2 linked regions of the Macaca fascicularis genome follow. The protein of the gene in region 2 purifies or fractionates together with the protein of the main gene of each other region. This does not show direct contact. Links are inferred from orthologs where the notes say so. Each region holds a gene or a part of one and is shown on either strand. Other genes may lie near its edges.

Region 1 (9,437 bases), on a different chromosome or scaffold from region 2:
GAACCTACTATTAAAACCTCAGGATAGGAGGCTGAGGAAGGTGGATCACCTGAGGTTGGGAGTTCAAGACAAGCCTGACCAACATGGAAAAATTCCGTCTCTACTAAAAATACAAAATTAGCCAGGCGTGGTGGTGCATGCCTGTAATTCCAGCTACTCAGGAGGCTGAGGCAGGAGAATCGCTTGAACCCGGGAGGTAGAGGTTGCGGTGAGCCGAGATCGTGCCATTGCACTCCAGCCAGACCAACAAGAGCAAAATTCCATCTCAGAAAAAAAAAAAAAAACCAGGATCAATTAAGATCTTACCCAGCATATGCTTTCAACTGGACAAAATGGCTCTGGGAAAAGGAAGAAAGGTCTAACTCTCCCACCAAAACCCAGTAAGCCCAAAGTGCTCAAAATCAAGTGAAGAGCAAGAGAGTAAGACAGCAGAAGAGAGACAGAGGAGTCAACAGGCAGGATAGCAGGAAAACAAAGAGATATGGCAAACCAAAGAAGTATATCTGGAAAAGAATTTTGTGGCTATTGGCACATGGAACACCTTATATCAGATAGATAAGAAGCCTACCTACACATATTCAATACTTAATGTCACTCTGCATCTCCCCAACTTTTAAAAGCTTCTTTAAAAGCATATTTTCCAATGCCTGCTTTAGCTGTGGAAAAGGAAGACTCTCCAAAGGCAAATCCAGGAATCATGGACAACAATGGACAGGGCAGCTTGGTGCTGTGACCACATGGCTCTTTAAGGTTGTCTCCCTTGAAAAAAGAACGAGGGAATTCCACCAGGGGAAGGAGAGAAGACCAAACATTTGGTGAACAGAAAGGGAGATAGAGTCTTTAGTGCTATTCCCCAAATATTCCTGGAGATCCCTTTGAGACACCTGGTAGGATTACAGTGACCTAAAGTTAGGCATGGCCATGTAACTCCTTTGGCCAATGATGTATGAGCAGAAGTGATGTGTGCCATTTCCAGGTGGATGCTCTGACAGCCATGATGTTCCGAGTTCCTTCCCCACAGACAGGATAGCCTTGAAAAGGGGTATCAAGACAAGGCCTCCTTGAGCCTGAGCCCTTGAGTGGCTACAATGAGCAGAGCTACCCTGCCAACCTACAATGGTCATGTAGCAGAAATGACAAACTTTCACTGGAATAAACCACTGATATGTTAGGGTTGTTTGTTACGGGAGCACAACACTGCCTTTCCTGACAGAACTGGGAGTGACAGATAAGGCTGGAGAGAGAAGTTAGATTGCGAAAAGCCCCTTCTCCCAGGCATAGGAATCGGAACACTCCTGGTTGTAAGGAAAAGCCAATGAAGGCTTCCAAGCAGGGGCATTAACATGAACAGATTTGTTATTTTTTTTGGATGAAATATGCTATTTCTCAACATAAGGAGAAGATCAGCCTACTAAACCACATGAGGCACAGAGGAACACACAGAACCCTTAGGTAAAAGATATATATTTATACAAAGTCCTAAGTCTTGAAATTTCTAAATACAGGAACTCTGAACGGAGTTATAGTCAGAGGATCAGGCAAGAAAATTTCTTTTATGCCACAAACGCTATTTCCTCTGCAGATAACTAATACTCCACAAGAAAGTTTGCCAGAGTAGAGAAAATACAAAGGAATGTAACACAGACCTGAGGTCAATTTCCAGGTGCATGTGTGTCCCAAACAAAGATACTTAACCTCTCTGGGCCTATTTCCTCACATGTTAAATCTGGTAATAATATATGTCTCTCAAGATGGTTGTGGGGAGAAAACAGCATACTTAAATTACTTAGGAGAATGCCTGGCAGATAAGTGTTTAATACATGAAACTTACTTTTATTACTGTTATAAAAAAATATTTAGAACACCAGCTCCCTGATTACAACAGAAAATTATTCAGGGCAACAGACAGAGGAGAATGTTCTCTCCTTGAGGAAGTAACTGGATCTTGTCATCACTGTAAACCTACCCCACCCCCTCCCCAGCTCAGCGCCTGGCTCACAGTAGGCTTTCAGTTACCCTCTGCAGATCAGTGAAAGCTAGGTGGGTGTACGGAGTGAAGAAAAGTTGGCAGGTTTCCCACTGATACCAGCTGCTGTTGGTTTCTGAACACTCAAAGCCGCAAATACCTTAGGGCTGGGGGCAATGAACCCTAGGCTGAATTCCAAGTTCAGAAACAGTGAGGTCTGAATTTAGAACCTAGGAACTTAAACTGCTGCAGGTCCAACTTCAAGCCCCAGTTCTAGACAGAGGCTTGGGAAAGAGCTGACTTCTAACCCTGTTCCCCCTCCCCTCCTCCCCTCGAAGCTTCTCACAGGAAAGTACACCTGGTCCTGCCAAATCGCACTCTTATATCCTGGCATCCTATCCAGGCTCTGCGAGGATGGAAACCGCGAGGCAGGGGAGGGAAGCGAGCTGTTTGGCCACCACCTCCCTAGTGCTGCAGGCGACCCTGTCACACTAACTCCCGGCAGCCCGGTGATGTGGACGGCACCGGCCCCACCTGCAGATGAGGGTAATGAAGCTCAGAGGAGTTCCGTGATTTGCTCGCTTCACACTGTTGCAGCCTGGCCACGAAAGAACAAGCATTCCCGACTTCGGGATTCTTTCCACCACACACTTTCGTCCCTAAGGGGTGGGGGGCGGGGGGAAGATAAAATAACAACCGCGGAAAAGGAACCACTTACATGTGTCTAGCGCTTCCTAGAGGCTACTCAGGATATGGGCCCACCACCCGGCCGGGAAGGTGGAGATTTGAAGTCCAGGTTCTACCCCGGGCTCCTGAGTTCTACTGCGTTACTTTATGCGAGTGTCCCCCGCCTTCTGAGCTTGTTTTCCCGGAAGCAACTCGGCGCGGGTGGAGAGTGTGTGCGTGTGTGTGTGTGTGTGTGCGCGCGCGCGCATGTTGTGCGTGTTGTGTTAAGCGTGTGTGTGTTGTCCGGGGGCGGGAAGGGGAGTAGACTAACACCGGGGTTCCCCGAGTTTCGGATCGCCTACACGCTTGTTCCCATCTGGACCCTGTTACCCACTAATTGCGCCCACTATAAAAACTGCCCCTCGGAGGCAAAGCTGTGATCCCCCGCGCCCTTTCCCCCACGGTCCCGGAGGATGAAGTGGGGTGCAACGGAGACTCAGCTGAGCGTCCAGTTTTGGGCAATACAAATCTCTCAGCTTCTAAGAGCAGCCAGACAACCCCGCGGACCATCGCTCCTGAACTTGACCGAGATGCAAACTTCGCAGCGTTTCTCAACGTGGGGGGCCGACTCTCGGGAGACCGCCCCCAAACTTAAGCCCCCTTAGGCTCGCCCCCAACTGGGACTTCACAGAGCCACCTTAAGGGCGGCGCTCCCGCCCCCCGGAAGTGCGGGGGGGCGGCGGACCTGGACTCTCAGCCTCCCGCCCCGCGCGGTGGCGGACGCCGGTGGATGACTTCGAGCCCCACAAGTGGGGAAACACAACCACCCCTCGCCCGCACCCTTGACCCAAAACAACTGGCCGGGTTCCCTGGCCTCCCGGGTCCCCGCATCCCCTGCATCCCAGTCCGCAGCCGTGAACTTGAGCCCCCTCCGTCAGATGTTGCGAGCGTCCGCCCGCTCGCGGCAGCCACCGTCACTAGACAGTCAAACCCCAAGACGTCAGCCCACAATGCACCGGGCGGGCCGGGAAAAACGGCCCGGGGAGGGGACCGGGGAAGAGAGGGCCGAGAGGCGTGCGGCAGGGGGGAGGGTAGGAGAAAGAAGGGCCCGACTGTAGGAGGGCAGCGGAGCATTACCTCATCCCGTGAGCCTCCGCGGGCCCAGAGAAGAATCTTCTAGGGTGGAGTCTCCATGGTGACGGGCGGGCCCGCCCCCCTGAGAGCGACGCGAGCCAATGGGAAGGCCTTGGGGTGACATCATGGGCTATTTTTAGGGGTTGACTGGTAGCAGATAAGTGTTGAGCTCGAGCTGGATAAGGGCTCAGAGTTGCACTGAGTGTGGCTGAAGCAGCGAGGCGGGAGTGGAGGTGCGCGGACTCAGGCAGGCAGACAGACACAACCAGCCAGCCAGGACGGCAGTATAGTCCGAACTGCAAATCTTATTTTCTTTTCCACCTTCTCTCCAACTGCCCAGAGCTAGCGCCTGTGGCTCCCGGGCTGGTGTTACGAGGAGTGCCCAGAGAGCCTGGTCTCCAGCCGCCCCCAGGAGGAGAGCCCTGCTGCCCAGGCGCTGTTGACAGCGGTGGCGAGCAGCGGTACCCACGCGCCCGCCGGGGGAAGTCGGCGAGCGACTGCAGCAGCAAAGAACTTTCTCGGCCCGGAGGGCCGGAGACAACTGGCCCAGAGTCCCGGAGCGAACTTTTGCAAGCCTTTCCTGCGTCTTAGGCTATTCGGCGGCGGTAAAGACCAGGAGGCGGCGGACAGCCACGCAAAAGAAGAAGGACGTGCGCTCAGCTTCGCTCGCACCGGTTGCTGAACTTGGGCGAGCGCGAGCCGCGGCTGCCGGGCGCCCCCTCCCCCTCGCAGCGGAGGAGGGGACAAGTCGTCGGAGTCTGGGCGGCCGAGACCCGCCGCTGGTCGGCCTCTGCGGGTCGGCACTGATCCGCGCCGCCGGGAGAGCCGCTGCTCTGGGAAGCGAGTTCGCCCGCGGACTCCAAGGAACGGCGGCGCCCGAAGAGCGCTCAGTGAGTGACCGCGACTTTTCAAAGCCGGGTAGCGCGCGCGCGAGTCGACAAGTAAGAGTGCGGGAGGCATCTTAATTAACCCTGCGCTCCCTGGAGCGAGCTGGTGAGGAGGGCGCAGCGGGGACGACAACCAGCGGGTGCGCGCGCTCTTAGAGAAACTTTCCCTGCCAAAGGCCCCGGGGGGCACGGGTGTCCCCCGCTTGCCAGAGCGCTGTTGCGGCCCCGAAACTTCAGCACGCAGCCCAAACTAACCTCACGTGAAGTGACGGACTGTTCTATGACTGCAAAGATGGAAACGACCTTCTATGATGATGCCCTCAACGCCTCGTTCCTCCCGTCCGAGAGCGGAGCTTATGGCTACAGTAACCCCAAGATCCTGAAACAGAGCATGACCCTGAACCTGGCCGACCCAGTGGGGAGCCTGAAGCCGCACCTCCGCGCCAAGAACTCGGACCTCCTCACCTCGCCCGACGTGGGGCTGCTCAAGCTGGCGTCGCCCGAGCTGGAGCGCCTGATAATCCAGTCCAGCAACGGGCACATCACCACCACGCCGACCCCCACCCAGTTCCTGTGCCCCAAGAACGTGACAGACGAGCAGGAGGGCTTCGCCGAGGGCTTCGTGCGCGCCCTGGCCGAACTGCACAGCCAGAACACGCTGCCCAGCGTCACGTCAGCGGCGCAGCCGGTCAGCGGGGCGGGCATGGTAGCTCCAGCGGTAGCCTCGGTGGCAGGGGGCAGCGGCAGCGGAGGCTTCAGCGCCAGCCTGCACAGCGAGCCGCCCGTCTACGCCAACCTCAGCAACTTCAACCCAGGCGCGCTGAGCAGCGGCGGCGGGGCGCCCTCCTACGGCGCGGCCGGCCTGGCCTTTCCCGCGCAACCCCAGCAGCAGCAGCCGCCGCCGCAGCCGCCGCACCACCTGCCCCAGCAGATGCCCGTGCAGCACCCGCGGCTGCAAGCCCTGAAGGAGGAGCCTCAGACAGTGCCCGAGATGCCTGGCGAGACGCCGCCCCTGTCCCCCATTGACATGGAGTCCCAGGAGCGGATCAAGGCGGAGAGGAAGCGTATGAGGAACCGCATTGCTGCCTCCAAGTGCCGAAAAAGGAAGCTGGAGAGAATCGCCCGGCTGGAGGAAAAAGTGAAAACCTTGAAAGCTCAGAACTCGGAGCTGGCGTCCACGGCCAACATGCTCAGGGAACAGGTGGCACAGCTTAAACAGAAAGTCATGAACCACGTTAACAGTGGGTGCCAACTCATGCTAACGCAGCAGTTGCAAACATTTTGAAGAGAGACTGTTGGGGGCTGAGGGGCAACGGAGAAAAAAAATAACACAGAGAGACAGACTTGAAAACTTGACAAGTTGCGACGGAGAGAAAAAAGAAGTGTCCGAGAACTAAAGCCAAGGGTATCCAAGTTGGACTGGGTTGCGTCCTGACGGCGCCCCCAGTGTGCACGAGTGGGAAGGACTTGGCGCGCCCTCCCTTGGCGTGGAGCCAGGGAGCGGCCGCCTGCGGGCTGCCCCGCTTTGCGGACGGGCTGTCCCCGCGCGGACGGAACGTTGGACTTTTCGTTAACATTGACCAAGAACTGCATGGACCTAACATTCGATCTCATTCAGTATTAAAGGGGGGAGGGGGAGGGGGTTACAAACTGCAATAGAGACTGTAGATTGCTTCTGTAGTACTCATTAAGAACACAAAGCGGGGGGGAGGGCTGGGGAGGGGCGGCAGGAGGGAGGTTTGTGAGAGCGAGGCTGAGCCTACAGATGAACTCTTTCTGGCCTGCCTTCGTTAACTGTGTATGTACATATATATATTTTTTAATTTGATGAAAGCTGATTACTGTCAATAAACAGCTTCATGCCTTTGTAAGTTATTTCTTGTTTGTTTGTTTGGGTGTCCTGCCCAGTGTTGTTTGTAAATAAGAGATTTGGAGCACTCTGAGTTTACCATTTGTAATAAAGTATATAATTTTTTTATGTTTTGTTTCTGAAAATTCCAGAAAGGATATTTAAGAAAATACAATAAACTATTGAAAAGTACTCCCCTAACCTCTTTTCTGCATCATCTATAGATACTAGCTATCTAGGTGGAGTTGAAAGAGTTAAGAATGTCAATTAAAATCACTCTCAGTGCTTCTTACTATCAAGCAGTAAAAACTGTTCTCTATTAGACTTTAGAAATAAATGTTCCTGATGTACCTGCTTCTATGGTCAGGTTATACTCTTCTTCCCCCAGCTATCTATATGGAATTGCTTACCAAAGGATAGTGCGATGTTTCAGGAGGCTGGAGGAAGGGGGGGAGTGTGTTGCAGTGGAGAGGGACAGCCCACTGGGAAGTCAAACATTTCAAAGTTTGGGATTGTATCAAGTGGCATGTGCTGTGACCATTTATAATGTTAGTAGAAATTTAACAATAGATGCTTATTCTCAAAGCAGGAATTGGTGGCAGATTTTACAAAAGATGTATCCTTCCAATTTGGAATCTTCTCTTTGACAATTCCTAGATTAAAAGATGGCCTTTGCTTATGAATATTTATAACAGCATTCTTGTCACAATAAATGTATTCAAATACCAATAACAGATCTTGAATTGCTTCCCTTTACTACTTTTTTCTTCCCAAGTAATATACTGAAGCTTTTATTTTTAGTTGCTGAGGTTAACATTGCTGCAATCTGAAGTGACTTGAAAATTAAGAAGCAAAGAATTTAGGAAGAGTCAAACTGGAAGTTGTGATCTGAATGAAACAGTCTCCCAATTTTATTAATTCCCTCCTCTCTACTACCACCCTTTACCCCCAAATAAATACCTATGTCTAAGGAAACTAGCAGTTTAGCATTTTGGATCTGTCTATAGTTTATTTCTTAATTTGTTTCTCAAATAATCAACCTTGTTTAAGTAATTATAGAATCAGTCTCAAAAGATAGTAATCTAATACTATGGAAAAGATTCGCAAGAGAAAACATGAACACCAACTCAATGATTACATGCATAAATCAAACCTCAGCTCTAGGGAAATGGGAAACTTAAATTCTGACTACAGATGTAACTTAGGAGATCAACAAGGCAGTGCTCAACAAGGGAACAATTTTTTGCTTGGTTGCTTTTCATCCCAAGAGCCAGTGTGATTATCAGGCAGCAAAAGCAATTTGATATCCAGGAATATTTCACAAACCACTAATTGAGGCAGGGCTGTTTGCTCATTAGCAATGTTCTAGTACCCAATAGGTCTGGGAGTGCTAATATCCTGCCTGTGGCTGTAAATCCAAATACACAGAGTTTCTCCTTAGGAGTATCTCTAGGAGTGGAAGAGATTGGACAGGCTTGTTAGCTTCGGGTATACTCTCCCTTGTAATAACACTTCTTGAACAAAGGGTTACTGGGAGCAGAGCCCGGTTTGCCAAACTGAATTTGCCGATGTCAGCAACCCGGAAGGTGAGATGATTTTGACCATATGTAGAAATAGCAGAGGGACAATAAAGCACTTTGGGGTGGGGCTCTGTGGAAGCTAAACAAGAGCCAACTAGAAAAAATAAGCAGGCTGGGGAATTAATTACCTGCAAAGGTAGACTAAGCCCAGACAACAGTACAGCACAGAAAAGCCACACCACTCCCCAGTTTGCTTTAGATTTCAGTGTTTAAAAAAAAAAAAAAAAAAAAGTCTGAAACTCAGGCCTATCCCCATGCCTGATTGTTTCAATTAACATTCTAAATGTATAGTCTTGAAATTCTAACCATTCTAACCAAAAGGGGTGGAAATAAATAATTGTGGTAGAGGAAATTAACCATGATCTCTGGTAAATTTTGGAGACAAAAGATTAACTGCTTATAAACACTTAATGGTTAACTTCATTATGGGCCTTCAATGAGTTAATCTTTAGGTAACACTAATAGTTGGAGCAGATGAAGCTAGTGACACATAGTTATTAATCCTCTTAATTTGTTTTACACATATATGTTACATATATAAAATAATTCAATCAGGGACATAACCCTCTGTGTCTATCAAGACAGAGAGTTCATGAACTCAATGAAAATGCCCAGAAAGTTGTGTGTGTGTGTCTGTACACACTCTTCTGAGGAGAGAGATTATTGCTTTTATTTGACCCTCCCAGAGTTCCATGACTCAAAAAAAAAAAAAAAAAAAAAAAAGTTGATAAACCACGAACCGACCAGCTTACATGCCCACTATCAGAAACATATCTTTGTATGAATCTAAATCCCTTGCTTTTTCACCCCTTCATGTTTCTGCTTGCATGTATTTGCCTGGAATACCTTTCCTTCTAGTTCAACTGATAAATCCTACCCATTCTTCAAGTCTTGGCGTAAGTGACACCTTCTCTGTAAAGCTTCTGTTGGTAACTCCATCTTCAAAGGGAATTAATAATTCCCTAGTGAGCATGATAACATTTCATGAAAAATCCTATGATAGCACTTACCAAAATGTGTTATGAACCTCTGTGTCTCCCGGTCAGAACCCTATCCTCTTCATCAATGGACTCCCAAACTTCTAATGCAGCGCCTAGCATATAGTAGATGTTCATGAAATAAACGTTTGATGACTGAAAGAACAAGTGAGCTCAAACCCTCCTCCAACATAATTCCAAGTCTCAGTTTCTTCTCGTAAATATACTTCATTCATTTCCAGGTGCATAACTCGCGATGGATCAACCTTCACCTCCTCAAAGTCAAACCTGGCCAACCCTCAAGTTCTAAAGCCTAGTTCTTAGTGAGTGTTCTTAAAAGAATTAAACTATTAACACATTCATACATCCAGCCACACA
Region 2 (10,976 bases):
TGTTTTGTTTTGTGGTTACTTCCAACCAAGGTATCATTACTGAAATACTGACACTTCTCAAAATGAATCCAATGAAATTAGGACTGAAAAGCTTTCTTTCCCTGGTAATTCTCTGTTGTAAGCATAGGTATTTTTCATCCCAGCAGGATAATTTTTTTTTTTTTTTTTGAGATGTCTCACTCTGTCATCTAGGCTGGAGTGCGGTGGCACGATCTCTGCTCACTGTACCCTCCACCTCTGGATTCAAGCACTCTCCTGCCTCAGCCTCCCGAGTAGCTGGGACTACAGGCATGTGCCACTACATATGGCTAATTTTGTATTTTTAGTAGAAATAGGGTTTTGCCAGGTTGGCCAGGCTGGTCTCGAACTCCTGACCTCAGGTGATCCACCTGTCTTGGCCTCCCAAAGTGTTAGGATAACAGGCATGCGCCACTGCACCCAGCATCCGAGATAATCTTAATAAGTTTACCAGTGTCAAATTAAATGTGGATTGTCAAATTAAATGTGAATAACTGTATTCAAGTCAGGTCAACTTGGTCAATTTGAAGTCAACTCCTGATCTCAAGTGATCCACCCACCTTGGCCTCCCAAAGTGCTGGGATTACAGGCGCGAGCCACCGTGCCCAGCCTCCAAGATAGTAAGTTTACCAATGTCAAATTAAATGTGGAATGCCAAATTAAATATGAATAACTGTATTCAAGTCTTGGAATGAAAACTGCTAATGTTTTCATGGTGACTTCAATGACTCCTTACTTTTTCATGTCAAAACTTTAACCATTTATTCATGTCTGTGAGAGAAACCTCAATTCGTTTTCCGAGAATGACTCAATATGATGCTGGTGTTGCTATATCTATCTGTGGCAGTAACTGCAGATTTTGGCTGTTCCTTGGGGGCAGAATTTTTTTTTTTTTTTTTTTTTTCTGTAGAGACAGGGTTTCACCTTGTTGCCCAGGCTGGTCCTGAACTCCTGAGCTCAAGCGATCCACCCACCTCAGCCTCTCAAAGTGCTAGGATTGAAGGTATGAGCCACCGCTCCTGGCTCATGATTTTTGTTTTAAAGTGCATAAAAATAGAGGTCAGGTTGTGCTATCTGAAATTGGGGGCGGGGGGATGCCTCCTTTAAAGGGACATAAAACAGATCAAAATGTTAATATATCAGCAACCAAGTATTTGGATATTAATATTAATTGGCTTCCGCATCTTAACCAAAAGCTGCCTCATTGCTAACTCTAACAAAACTCATGTTTTCTTTTCCTTGACCATTTGTAGCATGTGAAGTCACTGGTAAGTTCCTATTATTTAATTTAGAGACAGGGACTCACTCTGTTGCCCAGGCTGGAGTGCAGAGGTGCGATTATGGCTCACTGCCACCTCAACTTCCTGGGCTCAGGTGATCCTCCCACTTAAGCCTCCCAAGTAGCTGGGACCACAGGTGCATGCCACCATGCCTGGTTAATTTTTGTATGTTTTTTGTAGAGAGATGGTTTTGCTATGTTGCCCAGGCTGGTATTAAACTGCTGGGCTCAAGTGACCCTCCCGCCTCAGCCTTCCAAAATGCTGGTATTATGGGCCATGCCACCGTGCCCTGCTGTAACTTCATTTTTAAAGGTTTCTTACTCCTTGGCTCGTGTGGTCTCCTCTTCCTCTGCCCATTTTAAATATCTGATGTTTTCATGATTCAGTCTTGGACCCTCTTCTCATTCTTTATTCTCCAAGGGTTATCTCATTTGCTGTCATCTAGGCTTTACTGCCAAATCTCTCAACAGGAAGCTCTTAGAAAAGACAATACAGTACATTTTTGCTCTGTTTAAAACTCTCTAACTCCCTAATGCTGTGAGGATACACTCCAGAATACCACCGCAGGATCTACCCTGGTCCTACCTCTGAAGTCATCTCTCGTCACTCCCCAAGTCCTACTCACATATGTATGTATATATATACATACACATATATATGTATATCTTTTATTTTTTTGAGACAGGGTCTCACTCTGTCACCCAGGCTGGAGTGCAGTAGTGCGATCACGGCTCACTGCACCCCCAACCCCTGCCACTGGCTCAAGTGGTCTTCCCACCTCAGCCTCCCAAGTAGTTGGGACCACAGGCACGTACTACCACACCTGGGTATTTTTTTGTACTTTTAGTAGAGATGGCATTTCGCCATTTACCCAGGCTGGTCTTGAATTGCTGAGCTCAAGCAATTCTCCTGCCTTAGCTTCCCAAAGTGCTGGGGTTACAGGTGTGAGTCACCATGCTTGGCTCTACTTACCAATCTTAAGTCTAACTGAATCTCATTTCCTTGAAGGTTCTAGGTTCTTGCTTTCTACCTCTGAGCTTCTACATACTGCTGTACTCCCTGCCTGTAATAGTAATCACCTCCCTATTACTCTTTCTGACTAATCCTTTCATATTTCAACTTAATGGTCAGGCCACATCCTTCAGGAAGCCAACTCTGCCAACCCCTCTTGAGGATATGCATTCCTCCTCAAGAGTCCCCAACACACTTTATTTCTCCCCTCATAGCAGTATCTTTAAGTTCTTGTTAATTAAGCTTTAGCCTCCAGAAGTTCTGTGAGGACAGTGGCCATGTCCAGCTTGTTTAGCATATTTCCAGAGAGTAACAGTCGCCTGTTCAGGAAAGGTATGTGATGAATATGTGAAGGACTAGATACCCTGTGCTAGGCTGTCTCTAATAAATATTTGATTTTCAGGAAAATAATTTATGGTACCACTCAGCTAATGTTTTGTGGGAACATTAAAAGTGTTCCTGTTACATTATTAAAATAATTAACTGTTAAATTATATTTTACTTATAGACAGTCAAAAGAAGGGACAAATTGAAAAGTGGTTCTGACAGTATGGCAAGTGAAATGCTGAAATTCTTTGACTAATTTAGTTAGTCTAAACTCTTAAAAATAGAAAGTTCTAATAAATATATTTTCTCTCATATTCAGGAACCATAATGGATACTAGAAAAATATTGTGAATCTTCCCACAAAAAAATGAAAGGACAATTTCATTTTAAAGAGTTTTATTACAGGATGTTAATATTTAGGACACTTCAGAGCACCTTATACTTCTAATCAGATTTTGGGTAACTGGTTTTAAAGTGTTACTTGAATATTTTTCTTATACTGTCTTTCAGGTAAAGTACTTCTCAGAGACCGTTTAAGAGATGTTAATTTGATTAAACAGTTTATCCTTAATAACCTGAGACATCAATCCATGGATAGCTTCTATGGTAGTTTTACAGCTGGAAAACAAAACACACATCACATGATGTCATAAATTGAAAACTATTTCAAACACACAAGATCAGCCCCAATCCATCCATGTAACTCCAATGAGTTTGGTTTTATTCATACTTCTCAAACCACCCCAATGTGAAGTTTTCCCTTGTTATTTTATTAGTCTTCCACATGTCTTTTTAACCATTTCATTACTTACTAGAACTTTCACAAGAGAATGACACATAAAATTTGATACAATTGTTCTGTTTTAGAAGGTGAGTAAAATTATACAAACCTGTAATTAGAGATTGATTCCAATATTATATTACATTATAATCTGTTATTCCTTGTTTATTACTTGGGATAATTTGAAAAATAATTTTGAAGAATACTATTTTTTTTCCTGAAATAATCACAAGCAATTGTCCTCCAACAATTAGAAGTCAAAGTTAGATTAGCGGGTGAAGGCCTTAGATTTTAGAAATGATAAAAAGTATAAGGCAAAAAGCAATGAAAAAACCCCATCAATATTCAGAAGAGATGCAATTCTTGTAAAGCTACCGCAAAAAGGAAAATACTCTACTTTTGATTACTACTTCTGTTCTATTTCTTATATAATTGAAGACATTGCCATAGTAAAATTTTTGCTTCATAAGACATTGAGAAATAAATGTAGATAAACTGATAAATTACATACATAAAGACAGAGGAACAAAACACACTCAAAGCAAGTATCTAAAATGACAACTAATGCCAACGAAAAATACTTTTTTTTGGAGACAGTGTCTCACTCTGTCACCCAGGCTGGAGTGCAGTGGCACAATCATGGGTCACCGCAACCTCTGCCTCCTAGGCTCCAGTGATTCTTGTGCCTCAGGCTCCTAAGTAGCTGGAACCACAGATGTGTGCCACCATGCCCAGCTAATTTTTTTCGTAATTTTTGCAGAGATGGGGTTTTGCCATGTTGCCCAGGCTGGTTTTGAACTCTTGAGCTCAAGCAATATGCCTGCCTTGGCCTCCCAAAGTGCTGGTATTATAAGCATGTGTCACCATGCCCAGCCGAAAAATGCAACTTTTATGCAGGCCACTAGCTCTACCTTCTAAAAACCCACTGAGTAGATGGCAGTGAAATAAGGCTAACCCAAAATGACCTCCAATCCCAGGATACACTTCAGGGACCCTTTTCTCCTCTTTTCCCTATAAACCAAACCAGTTCTTAAAATAGATACCAACATGTAAGTGTGTATAGAAGTCAATGTAGTTCTCCCTTCCTTTCTGCCCCTAATTATTGCATTACAATTCAAATTTCTTTTCTTTCTTTCTTTTTTTGAGACAGAGGTTCACTCTTGTTGGCCAGGCTGGAGTGAAATGGCGCCATCTTGGCTCACTGCAATCTCCACCTCCTGGGTTGAGGCGATGCTCCTGCCACGGCCTCCCGAGTAGCTGGGATTACAGGCGCCCGCCACCACGCCTGGCTAATTTTTGTATTTTTAGTAGAGACGGGCTTTTACCATGTTGGCCAGGCTGGTCTTGAACTCCTGACCTCAGGTGATCTGCCCGCCTTGGCCTCCCAAAGTGCTGGGATTACAGGTGTGAGCCACTGTGCCCAGCCTAAAATTCAAATTTCTGTGAAAGTAAATGTTGTTAATCTATGCAACTTTGTATAGCCTATATATCTGAAGGTCCACATAATTATTTCATAAGTTATTAGAGAACATATCCCAAATTTGTTCCTAATAAAATCTTTGGTAGTAAAATTTGGGATACTAAATTACTGTTTTAGAAGCACAATTTGAGAGAGAGACAATCACTTCCGTAATATCTTAGGATTTAAAGCTTTATTGAATATTAAAATATTATAAATTTAAGAAATCCTAATTTTGGCTGGGCGCGGTGGTTCGTGCCTGTAATCCCAGCACTTTGGGAGGCCCAGGTGGGTGGATCACCTGAGGTCAGGAGTTCAAGACCAGCCTGGCCAACATGGTGAAACCCCATCTCTACAAAAAATACAAAAAAATTAGCCAAGCATGATGGTGGGTGCCTATATTCCCAGTTACCTAGGAGGCTGAGGCAGGAGAATTGCTTGCATCCAGTAGGCGGAGGTTGCAGTGAGCCAAGATCACACCATTGTACCACTGTACTCCAGCCTGGGTGACAGAGCAAGACTCTGTCTCAAAAAAAAGAAATCCTAGTTACTTACACACACACACACACACACACACACACACACACACACTTTAAAGATCCACTGAAGGGCTGGTTTTGTTACACTTTCTAGTTGAACTTAGAAAAGGTGACTGGGAGTGTTCCATAACACTGCTTAGATCTTTGATTTAAGCCTTTTAATGTTCTTACCTGATGTATCCTAAATTTTTCAAAGTTAAAACTTGTGTCTGACAGCTCCTAAAGTTTCCAAGAAGTTAATATTCAGGTACCGTTCTAAGTCGTAACTAAGTTGAGCCATAAGGAATCTGAATCCTACTATTGTTTGCAAATTTTGAAAGAAAAAGAGTTAGGGGCAACAAGAATCTTACAGATTTACTCTTACCTGTCTCTCGTAGCTTTGGCAAGTTTGTCTTCTGATTTTCTGTCATGCGTTTCCAAACCCAGCATGAAACTCCCTCGTCCCAGCTGGGCTTCTGACTGCTCTAACTTTTCAGACAAATCAAAGACCTGACCAGTGGTATAGTCTGCATTCTGTGGGGAAAATGGTATTGTGTCACTACAAAACATAAGTCTACCATTTAAAAAATCTATTTTAATGTAAACTAATTTCCTACAAAGAATATTTCATTTGCAAAGAATTCCACTATAAAATCTGAGTGAATAGTCAGTGAGAAGAGAAATCAAATTACATTTGCAAATCTGCTTCCAAATTCAGGTAGTTCAAGAGTAGATAGATGTTTTCCCTTTTATAATTTCAAGATTACTTGGAATTTTTCTCCTTGACTGCTTAAATCTAATATTTGTTATTATGGGAGGCTGTCAAGTATACAGACCTAAGTCCAAGTTCTGGAAGTATGGCAGATTAGTTGAAGGCCTGAAGTATGCCTCCAGGTTCTCTTCTGAAAATGGTAAGGGAGTCGATAATTCCTACCTTAGAGCTACAGTGAAAATTAAATGAAGTAATGCATATAAAGTTTTTGGCACTGTCCATGACACCTAGTAAAGGCTTAGTAATATTAGCTAATTTTGCTATTATTTTTGTTGAACTTTTAGAATTAGTACTTATGACAATATTGATAAAAATAACATTTTAAAAGCTTTTCTGGGTCGGGCGCGGTGGCTCATGCCTATAATCCGCATTTTGAGAGGCTGAGGCAGGTGGATCACCTGAGGTCAGGAGTTTGAGACCAGCCTGGCCAACAAGATGAAACCCCATCTCTACTAAAAATACAAAAAAAAATAGCTGGGCGTGGTGGCAGGAGCCTGTAATCCCAGCTACTTGGGAGGCTGAGGCAGGAGAATCACTTGAACCCAGGAGGCGGAGGTTGCAGTGAGCCGAAATCGTGCCATTGTACTCTAGCCTGGGCAACAAGAGCAAAACTCTGTCTTTAAAAAACAAACAAACAAACAAACAAAAAATCTTTTCTGGTTACAAAATTAATAATTATACAAAAAAATTTGGAAAATGTAGAGCAATATAAAGAAGAAAACAAACACATTTATAATCTCTTCATTTAGCTTTAACCACAATTACAGAGCATTGCTATATGCTTACATGTATACCTACATTTGAAAAACTATAATATTACATATTTTACCAATATTTTTATGGGGTATACTTTTTTAATTGTAGTCTAAAACACACAAAAAAATTTCACAAAGTTATTAAGTATACATTATATTTCTTTCCTAGATCTTCAATAGAAGAGTGTGAAGAGGAAATAAACTAGTTGGCAAAAAGTAGCATGTCATTCTATTTGCTCAGCTTGCAAGGAAAGACAGTCAGTCACCAAACAAGAAAAGTTATTTGCTGCCATACCAGTTCTTCCAGTGACTTTTACAAACTTAGTATTTTTAAAAGATGCAAGTATATTCATTTTGTCTGGATCTAAATGGTTTAGGAAACCAGTATGTTTTTCCTCCCGCAGACTTGGAAAAAACCCTAAAGTTTATAGAGCTATTTAAGCCATAAAAATATAGGCTACCAGAAATAGTTATACTATTAAAATGACAATAAAAGATATCCAATTACATTTCAAATGTACACAAAATGAATATAGTAAACTAATTTCTTAAATTAGAAAATAACTTAGGTTACATGCTATAATGAACTTCCTTAGCTGGGGGAAGAGAGAAGTTGAACATATGTCTACATATTTGTTCTTAAAATGCTGCAATGTACTATACATAAAACAAAAAAAAGGCAGAAATGTAATTTAACCTTTTCTTGATTATTAATGTCCTCATCTATGCAGTGCTGGAATACAGGGACAGACATTGGGCTGAGTAGGTAGATCTGCTTGCCTTATACAAAGGTTCAGACTGCTCTGGTCTTACAGTGTTTTCTCCCCTTGCCATCAGGTGTCACTTCTGGCTGCTATTAGTATACTTGCCTCTAAGGAAACAACACATATAAAGCACTTAGCAGTGTCTGGCACATAGGAAGCATGTAACACATATTTGCTATTATGATCATTCTCCATCCTAATTTGCTACTTCTGACTACTAAAGATAAGAAATAAGAACAAATGCTGGTTGCCATGGCTCATGCCTGTAATCCCAGCACTTTGTGAGGCCGAGGTGGGTAGAAGACTTGTGCCCAGGAGCTCCAGACCACCCTGGACAACATGGTGAAACCCTGTCTCTATGAAAAAATACAGAAAATTAGTCAGGCATGGTGGTGTACATCCCTGTAGTCCCAGCTACTCAGGAGGCTGAGGTGGGAAAATCACCTAAGTCCAGGAGGTCCAGGCTATAGTGAGATGTGATTGTACCACTGTACTTCAGCCTGGGCAACAGAGTGAGATCCTGTCTCAAAATAAAATAAAATTTAAAAAAAAAGGAAAAAAGAAAAAAAAGAACAGAAAGCTTGTCAGAGTTGTATTTAAAATAACAGTAAATACACTGCTTCACTTGACTAGCCTAAAAAAAAATCCAGTAAATAACAGGCTTAAGTGAAGTCTTTTCCCATGAATATAATGCACCAAATTAAAAAAAAATCATTTACTGAGGCTTTATTATATGCCAGACACTTTACTAATTGCTTTATATAAAGTAGCCCATTTAATTCTCTCAGAGTACTTAATGATGTATGTAGTATATCACCATTTCACAACAAAGAAATGCTTAGTCACATTAAATAACTTTCTGAAAGTCACTCAGAACTAGTAAAGTGACAGAGTTGTTTTCAAAGTCAATTTTATTTTTTAGTATAGATACCATTTATTATAGAAGAGACATGGAAATTTACATAATTAAATATTTCAGAACTTAAGTGCAATGAGCAGCTTCATGTTGATGGCATTTCAATAGTGATTTACTTCAGTCTACATACTTTCTAAGAATGTCAGCATCTCTAAATAAGAAATAATCTGGCTAGGCATGGTGGCTCACAGCCTGTAATGCTAGCACTTTGGGAGGCCAAGGCGGGCAGATTGCTCAAACCTAGGAGTTCATGAAGCCAGCTTGGGCAACATGGCAAAACCCTGTCTCCACAAAAAGATACAAAAATTAGCCAGGTGTGGTGGCTCACCCTTGTAATACCAGCTACTTGGGAGGCTGAGGTGGGAGGATCGCTCAAGCCTGGGAGGTTGAGGCTGCAGTGAGCTGAGATCGTGCCACCACATTAGCCTGGACAACAGACAGAGACCCTGTCTCAAAAAAAAAAAAAAAAAAAAAAAAAAAATCAAATCCTTGGCCTTCCAGGTCAACTGAATAAACCTGAAGAGTGGCAAAGTAGTTCTCTACTTTGGTGCCTCCATATTCTGGGAGAATAATTCTTTATCTCTAACTTTCACATTAACTGGCTGAATCCACCTTTTCCTTGAAAGCTCAATCCAACAGCTACTACCGTTGCTAGCAATGCTTTACCTTAAGATTTTTCTGGAAGTGTAATGCCTCCTTTGGTTACAGTTTCAGCTGTACTCCTTTCAACCAATACTCGATCAAAGAGCGTAAGAAACTTCTAAGTGCTGGTCCTGCTATGACTCCTGCTGCTGTAGCTCATATTCTCCAAACCCAGTTTATTTAATTCTAAATCCTGTGGTTCTAACCACTATATAGATATATACTGCGATGTGTCTCCCAGTATCTACTGCTTTAAAGTAATGCTATTCTGATTCCCTGTGGGAACCTCTCCTTACCCATTTTTAGTCCTTGAGCTCCTGAAGGAGTTTTCTACGATGTGGCCCAGCAGTAAAGCACTTGCTGTGGCCCTAGCCACTCATCAAGCTTATTCAGTTGGCCCACACCAGGCCTAAAGATAGGTATGTGATTAAGTAAAGCCAGTCAGACACAATGAAGTTTTGCCTGGGAATATGTGAGTGTGTGTTTGAGTATGTGTGTGTGTGTGTATCTTGATCTTCTCTTTGAACATGAAACTGAGAGGCTTGGAGGTCTAAAGCTAAAGCTGCTGTCTTGCTTTCACATGAAGCCTAAAAGTAGTGGTAACTAAGATGAAATCAATGCTAAGAGAGAGAAAAAAAACCAAGACCTCATAATATTGTTTGAATGCAAACTTAGCTGTGCCTGAGTTAAGCCCTATTCCTCAACTTTGCAACTTAGACAATTCCCTTTCTTGTTTAAGCTAGTTTCATTAGGTATCCTGTTACTTGTAATCAAGAGTCCAAGCTGAGACACTTGACACACAAAAATCAGTATGTGTATTTTTTTTTTATCCGTAAATCTCTTTATGGCAGGGGCAGATCTCACCCTGATCTGGACACTCTATTTGCTACTTAGACTTGGTCTCTGTGAGTCATGACACAGATCCTGAATTGGCCTAGCATCCTAATCCAGCTCTGGTGGTGCAGAATCCCACCCTAGCCCTGGTGTCTTGGCCAAGTCAGGTACAGCCTTTCTGTGAAACAGTGTTTGAGATATTAAAGGTCTATGGAGCTTAGATAAAATTCAAATGCATTCCTTACAAGTATAGTACTTACAGTAAGCAAGCTAGAGGAACTCAACGTATTCACCCAATATTTATTCCACAACAGCTCGAGCAATTTGCGATCCAAAGAGGATTTAAAATATGAGACTTCTAAGGCATAATATCTATGAAATAAAAGCACAAAATTTAGTAAGTAAAAAAAAATATTCAACTACATCACATAAAAGTTATGGCTAGTTTTAAGTGAATTACACTTTATTCTCAAATATTCATGTTTTAGTTTTTATTCCAATGAGGCAAGAGCTAACCATGGTTTCCTCACACTTCAAGGGTTGTGGATCCAAATCTCCTACTAAACTTCTTGTTTTATTCCTTTTTTTCTGTAGAGCCCAGAAATTCCCAAAATGTTATTAACAACCAGTCAGAACTTCTGAATGACAAGTTTATTCCTGTTACTGAGTTCATAAATTAAGCCAACAGCACATAAACTTAATGAGCTGCCTCTCTAGAGTCAACTATAATTTTTGTTAGTCTCTTTAAATAATAAAAATGACATGTGGATTCCATTATTCCCTTCCTAATTCCCCAGTTAGGACCTACTGCTTTTTGAAAAGCAAATTTTAAGGTAGGTCCTTAAGGCATCCAAAGTAATTGGTCCCACTTTCAAAGGTGCCTAATTTATCATCAGGGC

The links. The genes of interacting proteins can lie anywhere in the genome.
Region 1: the proteins of COPS5 (region 2) and JUN purify together in Homo sapiens (affinity purification with western blotting; 3 studies listed by BioGRID and IntAct, with this or other methods). This does not show direct contact. The link is inferred for Macaca fascicularis from reciprocal best matches to the Homo sapiens genes COPS5 and JUN.

Annotation. Positions count from the first base shown.
Region 1 is NC_088375.1:175,915,469-175,924,905, forward strand, and holds JUN (transcription factor Jun), read left to right. Parts: upstream 1-3,955; 5' UTR 3,956-4,933; coding exon 4,934-5,938; 3' UTR 5,939-6,694; downstream 6,695-9,437. UniProt on the Homo sapiens protein: Transcription factor that recognizes and binds to the AP-1 consensus motif 5'-TGA[GC]TCA-3'.
Region 2 is NC_088382.1:77,027,673-77,038,648, forward strand, and holds the end of COPS5 (COP9 signalosome complex subunit 5), read right to left. Parts: intron 10,450-10,976; coding exon 10,338-10,449; intron 7,793-10,337; exon of another isoform or gene 7,619-7,792; intron 5,929-7,618; coding exon 5,780-5,928; intron 3,255-5,779; coding exon 3,170-3,254; 3' UTR 3,016-3,169; downstream 1-3,015. UniProt on the Homo sapiens protein: Probable protease subunit of the COP9 signalosome complex (CSN), a complex involved in various cellular and developmental processes.